2 linked regions of the Cricetulus griseus genome follow. The protein of the gene in region 1 interacts with the protein of each later gene in a pairwise test. Links are inferred from orthologs where the notes say so. Each region holds a gene or a part of one and is shown in the gene's direction. Other genes may lie near its edges.

Evidence for each region.
Region 2: the proteins of Lmtk2 (region 1) and Myo6 interact in a two-hybrid assay, tested with the Homo sapiens proteins (2 studies listed by BioGRID). The link is inferred for Cricetulus griseus from reciprocal best matches to the Homo sapiens genes LMTK2 and MYO6.

What each region holds. Positions count from the first base shown.
Region 1 is NC_048597.1:80,615,334-80,621,583, forward strand, and holds part of Lmtk2 (serine/threonine-protein kinase LMTK2), read left to right. Parts: intron 1-3,209; coding exon 3,210-3,342; intron 3,343-3,717; coding exon 3,718-3,957; intron 3,958-5,254; coding exon 5,255-5,283; 3' UTR 5,284-6,250. UniProt on the Homo sapiens protein: Phosphorylates PPP1C, phosphorylase b and CFTR.
Region 2 is NC_048597.1:191,155,229-191,161,478, forward strand, and holds part of Myo6 (unconventional myosin-VI), read left to right. Parts: intron 1-1,721; coding exon 1,722-1,827; intron 1,828-4,288; coding exon 4,289-4,344; intron 4,345-4,783; coding exon 4,784-4,881; intron 4,882-5,588; coding exon 5,589-5,753; intron 5,754-6,250. UniProt on the Homo sapiens protein: Myosins are actin-based motor molecules with ATPase activity. Unconventional myosins serve in intracellular movements. Myosin 6 is a reverse-direction motor protein that moves towards the minus-end of actin filaments.

The sequences.
Region 1 (6,250 bases):
ATTTCCTTTTTATAACTGTTACTGCATTTATTTTATACATTTGTTACATTTTATTTATTCAGTGTACGTGCACTTACGATGCAGTGTACATGTGGAAGTCAGAGGATAAGATTAGTCGTTTCTCCATGTGAGTCCTGAGAATCCAACTTAGGTCATCAGGCTTGGCAGCAAGCACCTTTACCCATGGAGCATATCCCCCAATTTTCCCACTTGTCTGTTCAGTGTGTGCAACTGCCACAGGTACATGTGGAGGTCAGAGGACAACTTGGAAGAGTTGGTTCTCTCCTTCTACTTTGTGAGCTCCAGGGAGAGCTCCAGGCTGTCAGCCTTGGCAGCAGGCACCTTTGCCTACAGAGCCAACTGGGTGGCTCCAATTGGAAATTTCCTTGTATCTTTGTGGTATGGACTTGAAGGCTAATTCAATTATAGGGGCCTGTGAGATGATTGTTAAGATTATAGGTGTTTGCTGCCATGCCTGGCAAATACGGCAGCCCAGGCTCTAAACTCACATCCCTCTGCCTATGTGTCAGGCACTTTATGGACCTAACCATCTTCCCAGGACCTAACCCCTCCTGAAAGTCAGTTTTCAATAGTGTGCTTAGATTTAGGTGTGCTGTTTGATTCTGCTCTTCTGATTCAGTTTGCTTCCTTCCTTAGGAATACTGTTGTCAGTTGTGTGTTTCTCTGTGGTGGGTGTTAGTGTGTCCTTTCTGTTACACATTGGGGCAGTTCAGGGATTTCATCACGTATACTACCTTTTGGGTCAGCTTGGAATCAGCATTTCCTTCTGGGTACTGGGTCCCTCCTGCCTGACGTTGTTGTGTTATTTATATCCACATCCATTGAAAAGCCTCATCAGGACCTGGGGATGTAGCACAGTGGTAGAACACTTGCTTAGCATGTATGAAGCCTTGGCCACCATGACCAAAAAAAGAAAAAAAAAGAAAGAAAAAATAGTGCAATGTGTTTTACTTTCAATCATCAAACATTTTAAGAAATTCACAAGCATGAGCTAGGGGTGAAGCTTAGTTGGTAGACTGTTTACCTAGCATGCATAAATACCAGCACCCCATAAAATGGGCATGGTGGTACACAAGCTGTAAGCCCAGCACTCAGGAGTGGAGACAGGAGGATTAGAAGCTCAAAGTTATCCTTGGCTACATAGCTAGCTGGAGGCCAGCCTGGGTTACATGAAACCCTGCCTTAGCACACACTCATGTCCACGAGCACATGCCCATGCCCACACACAGTGGGTGGCGTGCACTCAGAGGCTAGCAAGATAGCTCAGTTGTGAAAAGTGCTTGCGCCCAAGCCCAGCAACCCAAGTTCATCGTCTGGGACCTACATAGAGAAGGAGAGAACTGACTCCCACAAATTGTCCTGACCTCCACATGTTGCCATGGCATATCCCATACCCTCCAGAGAGGAAATAAATAAGTATACAAAAGCAATATGATAATTTTTGTAAAAAGAAAGAAAACAACTCAAGGCAAATGGTTTTCTATTCAACCTAAGGTCCTGTCTGCTTTTGTTCTGTCTTCAGCGCAGGTGCTTCCGGTTCCTATCTGTTGTCTTGACAGACTTAGAGAAGTTCATTCAGCTTTTCTCAGCTCCCTTTTCTCCTAAACCACTGACAAGCTTCATCGCATACTTACTCCTGGAAGATACTTTCTCAGAGCATAGATTCTGAGTTGACATCTCTTTGCTGTCAGTATTTGGTCCCACTGTTTAAACTTTTTTCACATAATCCCAGTGCTTATGACCTTTGGCACCTGTGTGGACAATTTCTGCTGTGCAGTGAGGTTGTCCTGGCTACTTGAAGGCTGGGTCACTGTAGATTTTGTGTCTTCCCATCATGCTATGGGGCATCTGTCTTTTCAGGGTGGTGCAGAGTGCTGCTATGTTTGTCTTAGGCCTTCACAGCTGGCTTCAGGCCACACGCTCCAGCCAACCTCCTATGAGCTTCGGTATTAGTACTAGTTAGTTCCTCTTTCCAGTCTGTGGCCTGGATGTACCCACTGGCCAGGCTAGAGCTTGGTGGCAACCCTGCATCCCCCACAGTCCATTGGTGTACTGTTTGGGGTCAACTCAAGGACAGAACCAGAAACTCCTCAACACTGGTTGCTTTTTTGAATTGTCCTTGGTGGTGTCCAAGTCTGCCACACAAGGAAAGAAATCATAAAACATCAGGGGTACTCTTCAGAACCAACCATCAGACTACATGGGTATGGGGTGACAGGAACAGAACAGAGACAAGGAGAGAAAGGAACCTTGGGGTTATCCTGCTCTGAGGATTAGAAGATCCCTTCTTTTCCTAGATCCAGAACCAAAGTCTTCTCCGGCAACCCTGTCCAAGCCAGGGCATTCCAAAGGCAATGTGTCTGCCGAGCAGTGTCAGTTTGGTGCCACTTTGGAGTCTGGGGCGCTTCCCTGCTGCTTGTTCATTTTCTTTTCAGAGGTTTCAGGACTGTCTCACACAACTTCTGCAGATGCTAGAGCCGCATTCAAGGGACCATATATGGCAGGACTTTGTCATACATAGTGGCACGGGCCTGTAATCCCATGATTCAGGAGGCTGAAAGGATCAAGAGATTAATGCCAGTGTGAGCTAGATAGCAATTTTGAGACCTCTCTGGGTTACAGAGTGAGATATTGTCTTTAAAAATGAAGAAAGAAGCCAAGTGGTGGCAGCAACACATTTAATCCCAGCACTCAGGAGGCAGAGGCAGGTGGATCTCTGTGACTTCAGGCCAGCCTGGTCTACAGAATGAGTTCCAGAACAGCCAGGACTACATAGAGAAACCTTATTTTGGAGAGGGGGGGGTGGGGAGAGAAAGGAAAGAGAGAAAGGGGAGGAAGGAAAGAAAAGAAAAGGGGCTGGAAAGAACTGGTCTTTAATGCACACCTTTAATCCCAACCATCTGGAAGCTAAGGGGCAGATAGATAGCTAGAGTTTGAGACCAGTCTGGTCTACATAGTGAGGCTGTGTCATAAGGGTGCTGGAGAGATGGCTCATGGGTTAAGAACAGGGCTGCCTTTGCATAGGACCTGGGTTCCCACCTCATAATCATCTGTAACTCCAAATCCTGAGGGCCTGATGCTTTCTTCCTCACATAAAGTAGATAACTCTTTAGTTCACCTCATGCGATGAGCCTGGGTGGGGTCAGATATTTGGGCTCTAAAAACTAGAATTTTGTTTGGCTTTTCAGGAAACTCCCACCAAAGAGCTGGGGCACTGCGGAGGAGAAGCGCATGGTCCTGGGCCCAGCAGCCCAACAGCATCCTCAGGCTCACCCTACCTGGGCAGGTGCATGAATTCGGAGAGCTCCACAGATGAAGAAGGTATTTGATTGTGCTGTGTTGATCAGCTGCAAAGGCAGTGGAAAGGAACATTATTCGTGGGGGTGAGGTTTTGTTTTGTTTTGTTTTGTTTTGTTTTGTTTTGTTGACAGAGTCTCACTCTGTAGACCAGGCTGGCCTGGAACATAAGAGAGGTTCCCCTATCTTTGCCTCCCAAGTTCTGGGATTAAAGATGTGTGCCACTACACCTGACTAACACTAACATTGTTGGAAAGGATCATGATTTGTTTTTAAATGACTTCCCCTGTGTCTCTGCTCTGCCATCTGTTGGCGGCTTGTGTCTGAATGCCCTGGGCTCCCTCTCCTTATCGTGAGTTGATTGCGTAAAGTGATAACAGGGTGATGCTCTTACTGCAGGTGGAGGCTTTGAATGGGATGATGACTTCTCCCCTGATCCTTTCATGTCCAAAACAACAAGTCTTCTGGGCTCTAAGCCTTCTCTTCAAAGCTCCAAATACTTTTCTCCCCCACCACCGGCAAGGAGTGCAGAGCAGAGCTGGCCACACGTGTCTCCCTGCTCCAGGTTCTCCATCTCTCCTGCCAACATTGCCAGCTTCTCTCTCACACACCTCACGGACTCAGACATTGAACAAGGAGGTGAGAGGGGCCCTTCATGTGCTGGGGGTGGGGCCACGCCAGAGGGATGGTGCTTTCAGCCAGGAGTGCTCATCTACCCTAGACCCAAAGGAATGGTGATCTGATGCTATTTTAGTCTTTCCTGAGTAGATTATAAATTTGCTTGAAAATTCTTTTTGTGGTGGGGGTGGTTCCTTGGGTATACTTAGCACATTGTTCTACCTTTGAGGTACATCCCCTCACTAGGTTATTCTAGACAGGTGCTCTACCACTGAGTTACACCCTAGCCCCCTCACTGGGGGATTCTAGGAAGGGGCTCTACCATTGAGCCACACCCCAGCCCCTTACTGCTTTACCACTAAACTTCATCCCCAGGTCACTTCTTACTCTTGGTTTTGTTTTTGAGACAAAGTCTCACCAAGTTGCTCTGCCAATCTTGTATCTAGTTTGGCCTTGAACTTTCAATATTTCTGCCTCAGATTCCCATGTAGGTGAGATAACAGGCCTGGCGTATCTCTCACAAGCTTGACAGTGCATATACAACCACACTTCCCCCATTTAGAATCACCCCCAATGCTCATTTCTGTATAACCCTGCTGGCCCAGCCCCAGAGATCTTGGAGGTCCTGGAGAGGGCTCTGTTTTCTGTCCCCTTGCTGCCAGTCCTGCTTCCTCAGGTCACACTTCTCTCCCAGAGGAGCTCCCTGCACAGGCACCTGCTCTAGGCACACTTGACCTGTGGTTTGGATTGGAGCCCAGGCTCTCTGTCTCTTCCCTGGCAGTGTTGATTTTGCCATTAAGTCTTGGTCTCCATGCGATACCAGAGGGCCAGCTGGGAGCTCACAGCAGGGGCCAATTTGAAGTAGCAATACCTGAACATATGGGCCCCTTTCCCTATACCAAGATCGGAAGATAAATGTTAATAGGTACATTTTTTATTTGAAGTTTACAGATCAAATAATAAATGTAGGATATAAAGTGCTTTTATTTGTTTACATAGTTTTCACCTGTGCCGGTGAGATAGTGCCTGTGCCTAAGGATCTCTGGGGGCAGGTGTACGGGTCAGGCTGGTTTACTTCAGTGCTCCTGAGTGTGGCCATGGAGCCACTGTGGGAGCCAAGCAGCTGTGTGTGCAGAAGCCTGCAGGCTGTGGCATGGAGAGACGGACAGGGCAGCACGGGAAGGCATGAAGCAGCCAGATACCAGCTGCAGTTCCTTTTCCTACTGTTCTGGTCTGGTCATCTCTGTGCTGTTAGTATCTGGGTATTCAGTTCTTAAAACTGACCCTCTTTGTCATGTTGCTTCTGTCTGGGAAATAGGCAGCAGTGAGGATGGAGAGAAGGATTAGACGGCTGTGGACACTCTCCCAGCCCAAGCAGCGTTCCTGCGCATCCGCCTGAGCAACAACATCAACTCCTTGGTGGCTGCACCAGACAGTGAAAGGCTCAGGAATGACGGGGAGCCGAGCCACCAGGCCAGGAAGCCAGCTCCCTCTGCAGCCCTTGCGGCACTGCTCATGCACTACAAGTGCCCTGTGCTGGGCGTCCCGTCGAGGTGGCTGCACTGCCACAGGTCTTTGGCACATGAGTGTTGGGGGACCTGTGCACCCCAGGTCATGGGTCTGCTTTCCGTGTAGGTGTCTTCCCCACCACACCTGTGCCTCTAGTTTGAGCACAGGTGCCACAAAGGGGGTTCACCAGGGGAATGGGCACAAGGCGAGCCATATTTATTGTTTGTAAGGAAATCACTAATTGCTCTCTGACTGCACTGTGGGTGAGTGTTTGAGCTCCCAATATTGTACAGCATCGTAAATTATACGAGGAAAACATGGCAGGCCAAGATGGTGCTGTCCACTGGTTTGATTTTTTTCCCTCCCTGTCTTCTCCCGTGTTTACCCTGCATGGTACTGTAAAGCTTTGATATTTTGAGTGTTGTGTCTTGAGACCTGTGGGAACTGTACACAGGTACTCTTTCCCAGGCCATGCTGACTCTGGTATTTGTGTTCTATGTTCCTAGAGGAAATATTTTTGATGAGTTCAAACTGCTGTTTAGTTTCATTGACTGCATTAAGCATGTTTCTGTATAAGGTGGATGCTCTCTGAGCAGCCTGCCCTGCCTCTTGTGTTTTTAAATCCTCTTGGTAGAAATCCAATAAGAGATGCACCCGGAACTCAGCACTCTCAGGGCCCAGGGCCATTTTCTGGTGTGGTAGGTGAGGCTCACACCACTTCCTCTCCACAGAGGCCAGCCTGCAAGAGATCTCATATGTTTTGCAGGCAGGCAGGGACCTTGAGGCCCTGAGTCCCCACAAAGAG
Region 2 (6,250 bases), about 110 Mb from region 1:
TGTAGGTTGGACAGTGAGATGTGTGTGCTGCTTATGGTCATCAGTCTTGTTACTACTGAAATATCTCTTGTGAAGAAGCAGGTTATTTAGCTCATAGCCTGGGGGCATCATAATCCATAGCATAGCACAGGCTCTGTGGTGTAGACCACCTCTTGGCTGCATCCCCTCTTGGCACAGAGCAATGGCTACAGGAACACATAGTTGATCTCCAACCAGATGTAGAGGCTCAGAGTTCATTGTTGAAGAAGAGGCAGAGAGACTGTAAGAGCAGAGGTGATGGGCGAATATAGGACATGGTGTTTTCTGGATACAATCAGAGGTACCAGGCTTGCTCTTTTTATAGCAACCCTCTTGTAAGAACTCAAGGGAACAGGTGAGAAACCACCTTGTCAGAGTGTGTATCCAGTCACCCAAGGGCCTCTTACTGGGTCCTCCTTCCCAAAGGCTCCTCTGCCTTCCAGCAGTATCACTTTGCATCACAGTGGGCTGGTGGGAATACCCATGCAATATTGTTTGTAGCTTATTCTTAGAGCCAAAGCCATTTGTCATTTGTAAAGCTATTTTTTTTGTATGTATAGCACATGTCTTCTTGAGACAAATTGCTTTGCAACTATTTTTTTTAAATGTTTTTTTGTGGTGAGATATTGTTTATGAGTTATTAAAGCTTGTGTTTGCTGTGCAAAAATGAGTTCATGATGACATTTTCATAGGAAATTATGTCATGCATTTTTCTCATATCCTCCTCTTTATCCTCTGTTGTCCCTCTGTTCTTTCTTGCTGGACCCTCCTCTTCACAAGTTAGTCTCCCTTCTGCTTTCAAGTTACATGAGAGAAAATGTAGGATATCTGTCTTTCTGAGTGTGGGGACATTGTTGTTCCATTAGAGGGTCTGTTTATATTTTAGGAAGCTTCTGCAGCAGTAGATTTTCATGACTGCTTTTAGGAAGTCTTTAGCATGAGTTATCTCTCCCCATATTTCCTCCTTTATCCTGCCCTTCTGTTCCTCACCCTTTTCCCCTCCCTCTTTTATTCTGCTTTCCCATTCCTACCCCATTTAACCATTGTTGTTCCATTATTCCCCTTTATGTTACTGCATCCTATTCCCCCTCCCCTGAAAGCCCCACTTCCTAATGGTCCCCTACTTATGTCTTGACTTCTATGGTTATTCCAAATGACACACACACACACACACACACATCTGAAGATTCAAGGCTAACACTCACAAGTGAGAGAAAACATGTGATGTTTATCTTTGTGTGTTTGGTTTCCTCACTCAGCTTTAGCAAAAATGCAACTCTAAGATTTACAGGCAAGTGGATGGAGCTGGAAATAATTTCTGTAGATTTATTTTTCAGTTGTTTTTCTCTCTCACAATGGATTCAGTTGCCAAATTTCTCATTGGAAACTCATTGCTTCTTGTTTTTCACTGGGGACCTCATTAGTTATGCACACTGAACATTTTCTTTCCCTCTGCAGATCTGCTCTGGCATTTGGGCAAGCTGAGCCAAAGTCAATGTGGAGACAATCTAACACTCTAGCACAATCTTGAGATGTTCGGATTTCCTATTACTTGTCTTTTAGGAACATTGCAAGTGAATGCTTACAGAAACCTTTGGATGACTTTTAACACACATTCATGACTTCTTTAGGAGTAAAGACCCTTACACTAAACTCTTGTCAGTGACTCAGCTTGCTGTATTACTGTCTTACTTTGCCTCCAGCTGACAAGGCTTTTCGAGACATGAAGGTGCTCAAGATGAGTCAGTCTATCATTGTGTCTGGAGAATCGGGAGCTGGCAAAACAGAAAATACAAAGTTTGTTCTAAGGTGAGTATTTAGCTGATCTGAAATGTTCTGAGCAGTAGTAAAAGAAAGCTTTACCACTAAGTTTGTCGACTGCCCACTTTGAAGTTCAGCAATGCTAAGCACACTCACATCGTCACATTCATGTCATTGCGTTGTTTCTATTCCTCACCTCACAAAACCCAGAACTGTACAAAGCACATGAATAAACTATTACTCCTTCAGATGCTGTACTCATTAAATAGTACATAAATAAGATATTACTTCCTGTTTGGGTTTCTATGAGTTTCTCTGAGTACCTATTTAAGCAGCATCATATAGTATTAGTCTTTCAGTGACTTCTTTGTTTCATTTAGTTTAATATGGGATTCACTCACGTTTGAGCTGGTTATAGTGACATGCACCTATGTGTGTACACACACAATTCACACACACACACACACACACACACACACCCTCAGCTTCTTAGGAGATTGAGTCAGGAAGATAACTTTCGTTTCAAGGGCATAGGAGCCTAAAAAACTTTATAAGACCCTGACTCTTAAAAAGATATAATCACTAGTGTTATAGTATGTTATAGTATGCATTAGAATTTCCTTCCTGAATTTTAGGGCTGAATAAATTTCATTGCAGGAATTTATTTTATTTGCTGTATTTGTACATGTATTGATAGGCAGTTGGGTTGTTTCTGTTATTTGGCCATTGTGAATAGTGCAGTTTTGAGTGTGTGTGTGTGTGTGTGTGTGTGTGTGTGTGTGTGTGTGTAGGGGTAATCACAGGGTATTTAAGCAGATTGACTTTTAATACTGTTGTATACTGTATGGAATAGTTTGGAAGAAAGAAGCGTGGAAGTCAATCTCTCTGTTGTAGATAGCTGGCTCTGATGTGTTGTTTCTTGGAGGATTCTATATGAAGTTAGTGCTTGATAGGCAGTGACAAACCCAGGAATATTCTTTCAAAATCCAAATGGACATTCTATTGTCTTTCTTTAATTAAAATTTTTATTCATTTTACATACAAACCACAGTTCACCTTCTCTCCCCTCATCCCTCTCCTCTCCTTATGTCCCCCCAACCTACCCCACATCCACTCCTCAGAAAAAGGGTAAGGCCTCCTGTGAAGAGTCAACAAAGCCTGGTACATTGAGTTGATGCAGGACAAAAACCATCCCCCCTTCATCGAGGTTGAGTAAGGCATTCCATCCAAAAAGCCAGCTCATGTACCAGGGATAGATCCTGGTCCCACTGACAGGAGTCCCACAAACAGACCAGGCTACCAAACTGTCGCCCACATGCAGAGGGCCTAGTTCAGTCCCATGCAGGTTCCCAGCTGTTAGTCTAAAGTCAGTGAGCTCCCAGAAGTTAAGTGAGTTGTCTCTGTGGGTTCCCCTGTCTCATTCTTGACCCCTTTTGCTCATATAATCCCTCCTCCCTCTCTTTGATTGGATTTCCAGAGCTTGGCCTGGCGCTTGGCTATGGATCTCCATTGTATTCTCAATGTTGGTGCTTTGAAATATATTTGAAACTACTTTTTATTTAGACTTCCTCTTATCCCTCTCTCATCAGATCCCCTTTCTACCATTATACAAAACTCTCAACACGTGGTGTATAGCCACAACCTTTTTAAAGTGGAAGGAGCATTGCCACATGACTATAGTCTTATTCTTTAATTTAAATTCTGTAAATTGTCTCATTGCTGTGACAAAATATCAGACAAGAAGGAATCAAGAGAGGAAGAGTTCATCTTGACTCATGGTTCAAGGGTTCAAACACACCATGGTGGAGAAGGCGTGCTGGCAGGAGTTGGTCACATTGAAGCCACCCACAGTCAGGGAGTAGAGAGGGATGAGTGAGTGCTGTCCTTAGCCTGTTAGACCTTCTCCACATGGTCTGGGATCCCAGTACATGGCATGCTGTCACTCATGCTAAGGGTGGGTCTTCCCACCTCAGTTATCTAACAAATATCAATCCCTCACAGACGTGGCCATAGACCTGTCTTCTAGGTCATTCTAGGTCCTATGGAGTTGATGATCAATGCCAATCATCACACATACCAAAGGAAGTTAAATCCAGTGGTGAAGATACTGCTAGGACCAGCACATTCTGAATTATTATCAGTATTGTTTCTAATTTATTACAGTTCTTAGTTTTTTCATGGTGGGGTTCTTTATGAAGGTTTCTATTTCTTATGGAAGTGTATAGAGTTATTAAGTTAAATAGTTAATGGGATACTTATGTAAATCTAGTTGAAAATTTGTTAAAAATCAGAGTATTTCCAAACATATAATTCCATGACCTGCACATACCCACACAAGACACATACAGAAGCATAAATAAAAATATAAAAAAATTTAAAAACAATACTAAACAGTTACAATGATGATCCATGTTCCATGTTTCAGTTTGATATATATGTTAAATAGTAAATTTATAAATATATTGTCCTGAATATTATTCAGTTTTTTAAAATTCTATATTTTAAACAGATACCTGACAGAATCTTATGGAACTGGTCAAGATATTGATGATAGAATTGTTGAAGGTATTGTTGATTTTTATTTTTTAATGTTGGGTACCTCTAAAGTTAACTTAGAAGAATCTTATCTGAGACCTACAATGCTTTTCTTTCAGAGGTGGAAGAGACTTTCTACCTCCTATAAATATTTGCTCAGATATTACTTTCATGCTGATCTATTAACCTATTGTCTTTCTCTGTGCCAGAGGCTAGTCTCATAGATGACGTTAGACCTTGTCCACTTGTCAATCAAAAATAAAACCATGACAGCGGGTTAACATTTCACACTTGTGGAATTTGACATTGCTGGATAATTCTTCCATACTAATATTTCTAAAAGCATCTATTCCATCACTTTCCCCGAATTTTCCCCTGTGGAGATGTAATATGTATATTGCTTTATAATTTCTCTTCATGCCTTTCTCGTGATTTTTCTGGTGAAGCATTTTCATTTCTTTTTCAACAGCTAACCCTCTTTTAGAAGCCTTTGGAAATGCAAAGACTGTTCGTAACAATAATAGCAGTCGATTTGGAAAATTTGTGGAAATTCACTTCAATGAAAAGGTAAAAGAAAGCTGCTTTTGGGATACATTAGGGGAGTGTTTGTGGTAAGTGTAAGGGTCTTATTAGAATTGGAATTAGCACAGTTCTTCCTAAGATTATTACTATGATTATTATTGTAATTATTATGGTGTGTGTGCTTGTGTGCATTTACAGTGACTTCAGAATTTCTATTCAGTTTAAATTAAAATATTGGAGTTGACTGCGTTATCAATCATAGCGTTGTAGTTAATTTTTTCTCATACTTGATTCTTTCATTGTTTTGATAACATGTAATAATGTTCATGTTCACGGGCACAGCATGGTACATAGTGATGTGTATATCTGTGGATCTGTATAGTCTGTGAGGATCACATCAGAGCAGTTAGTGTCTTCTCAGCATGAGGTGAGTTTGATGGCAGTCTGACAGCTCTTCAGCAGCTGCCCAGTGGGCTGCTGGGGACACTGGGCCGACCACAAAGTCAGTTCTGATTCTGCAGAGGCTCAAAAGCTAGAAGGGATCAGGGTGGAGACCGGATGATAACAGTGTTTAAAATGAAGGATGAGCTGTAGAAATACTCTGAGCTTACATTTAGTTTTTTTTTTGTAATATTTGATAAATTTTTTGACTTCTTTGCTAAGCAAATGATTATTAGAAAAGATTGAATTAACATTAAGTTATATTTCAGTTCCATAGATGCAAAAAATGTATTTTCTGTTTTGTCTTTTAGAGTTCAGTTGTTGGAGGATTCGTTTCTCATTATCTCCTAGAGAAGTCTAGGATCTGTGTTCAAGGCAAAGAGGAGCGGAATTACCATATTTTTTACAGGTTGTGTGCTGGGGCTTCAGAAGACATTAGGGAGAAGCTTCACTTGAGTTCTCCAGATAATTTTCGGGTAGGTTGAAGGAAAACACATTTTATACGAGGTTTGCAAATTGTTTACTCTCTCAGTGCTAAAACTCACTGCATTTTGATACCTAGATGTATTTGTATATAACTAACATTAAATGAAGTATGGTGGGCTTTCTGAATCTGCAGATTTTATATCTCAGGCTTAATTAATCATGAATTGAAAATATTGGGGATAAGAAAGAATACATCTATACTGAGCATGTATTAGTTCTGTATTATTTTTACTAAATAGCAAGGAATAATATTCCTTCGCAGAATGTTTACATTGTAGTAAGGATTATAAATAATTTCCACATAATTCGAAGTATTTGACAGGCTGTGTGTTTGCAGATCATGTACAAGTGTGATGCTGTTTTAAAAGGTTCGCAAACTTAGGTATCTACTATCCAGAAGGGGCCAAGGTATTGATTCCCCTTCGACACCATGGATACCTGAGATGTAACCAGATGATGTGTTAGACTTATAGTCTTGCTGACGACC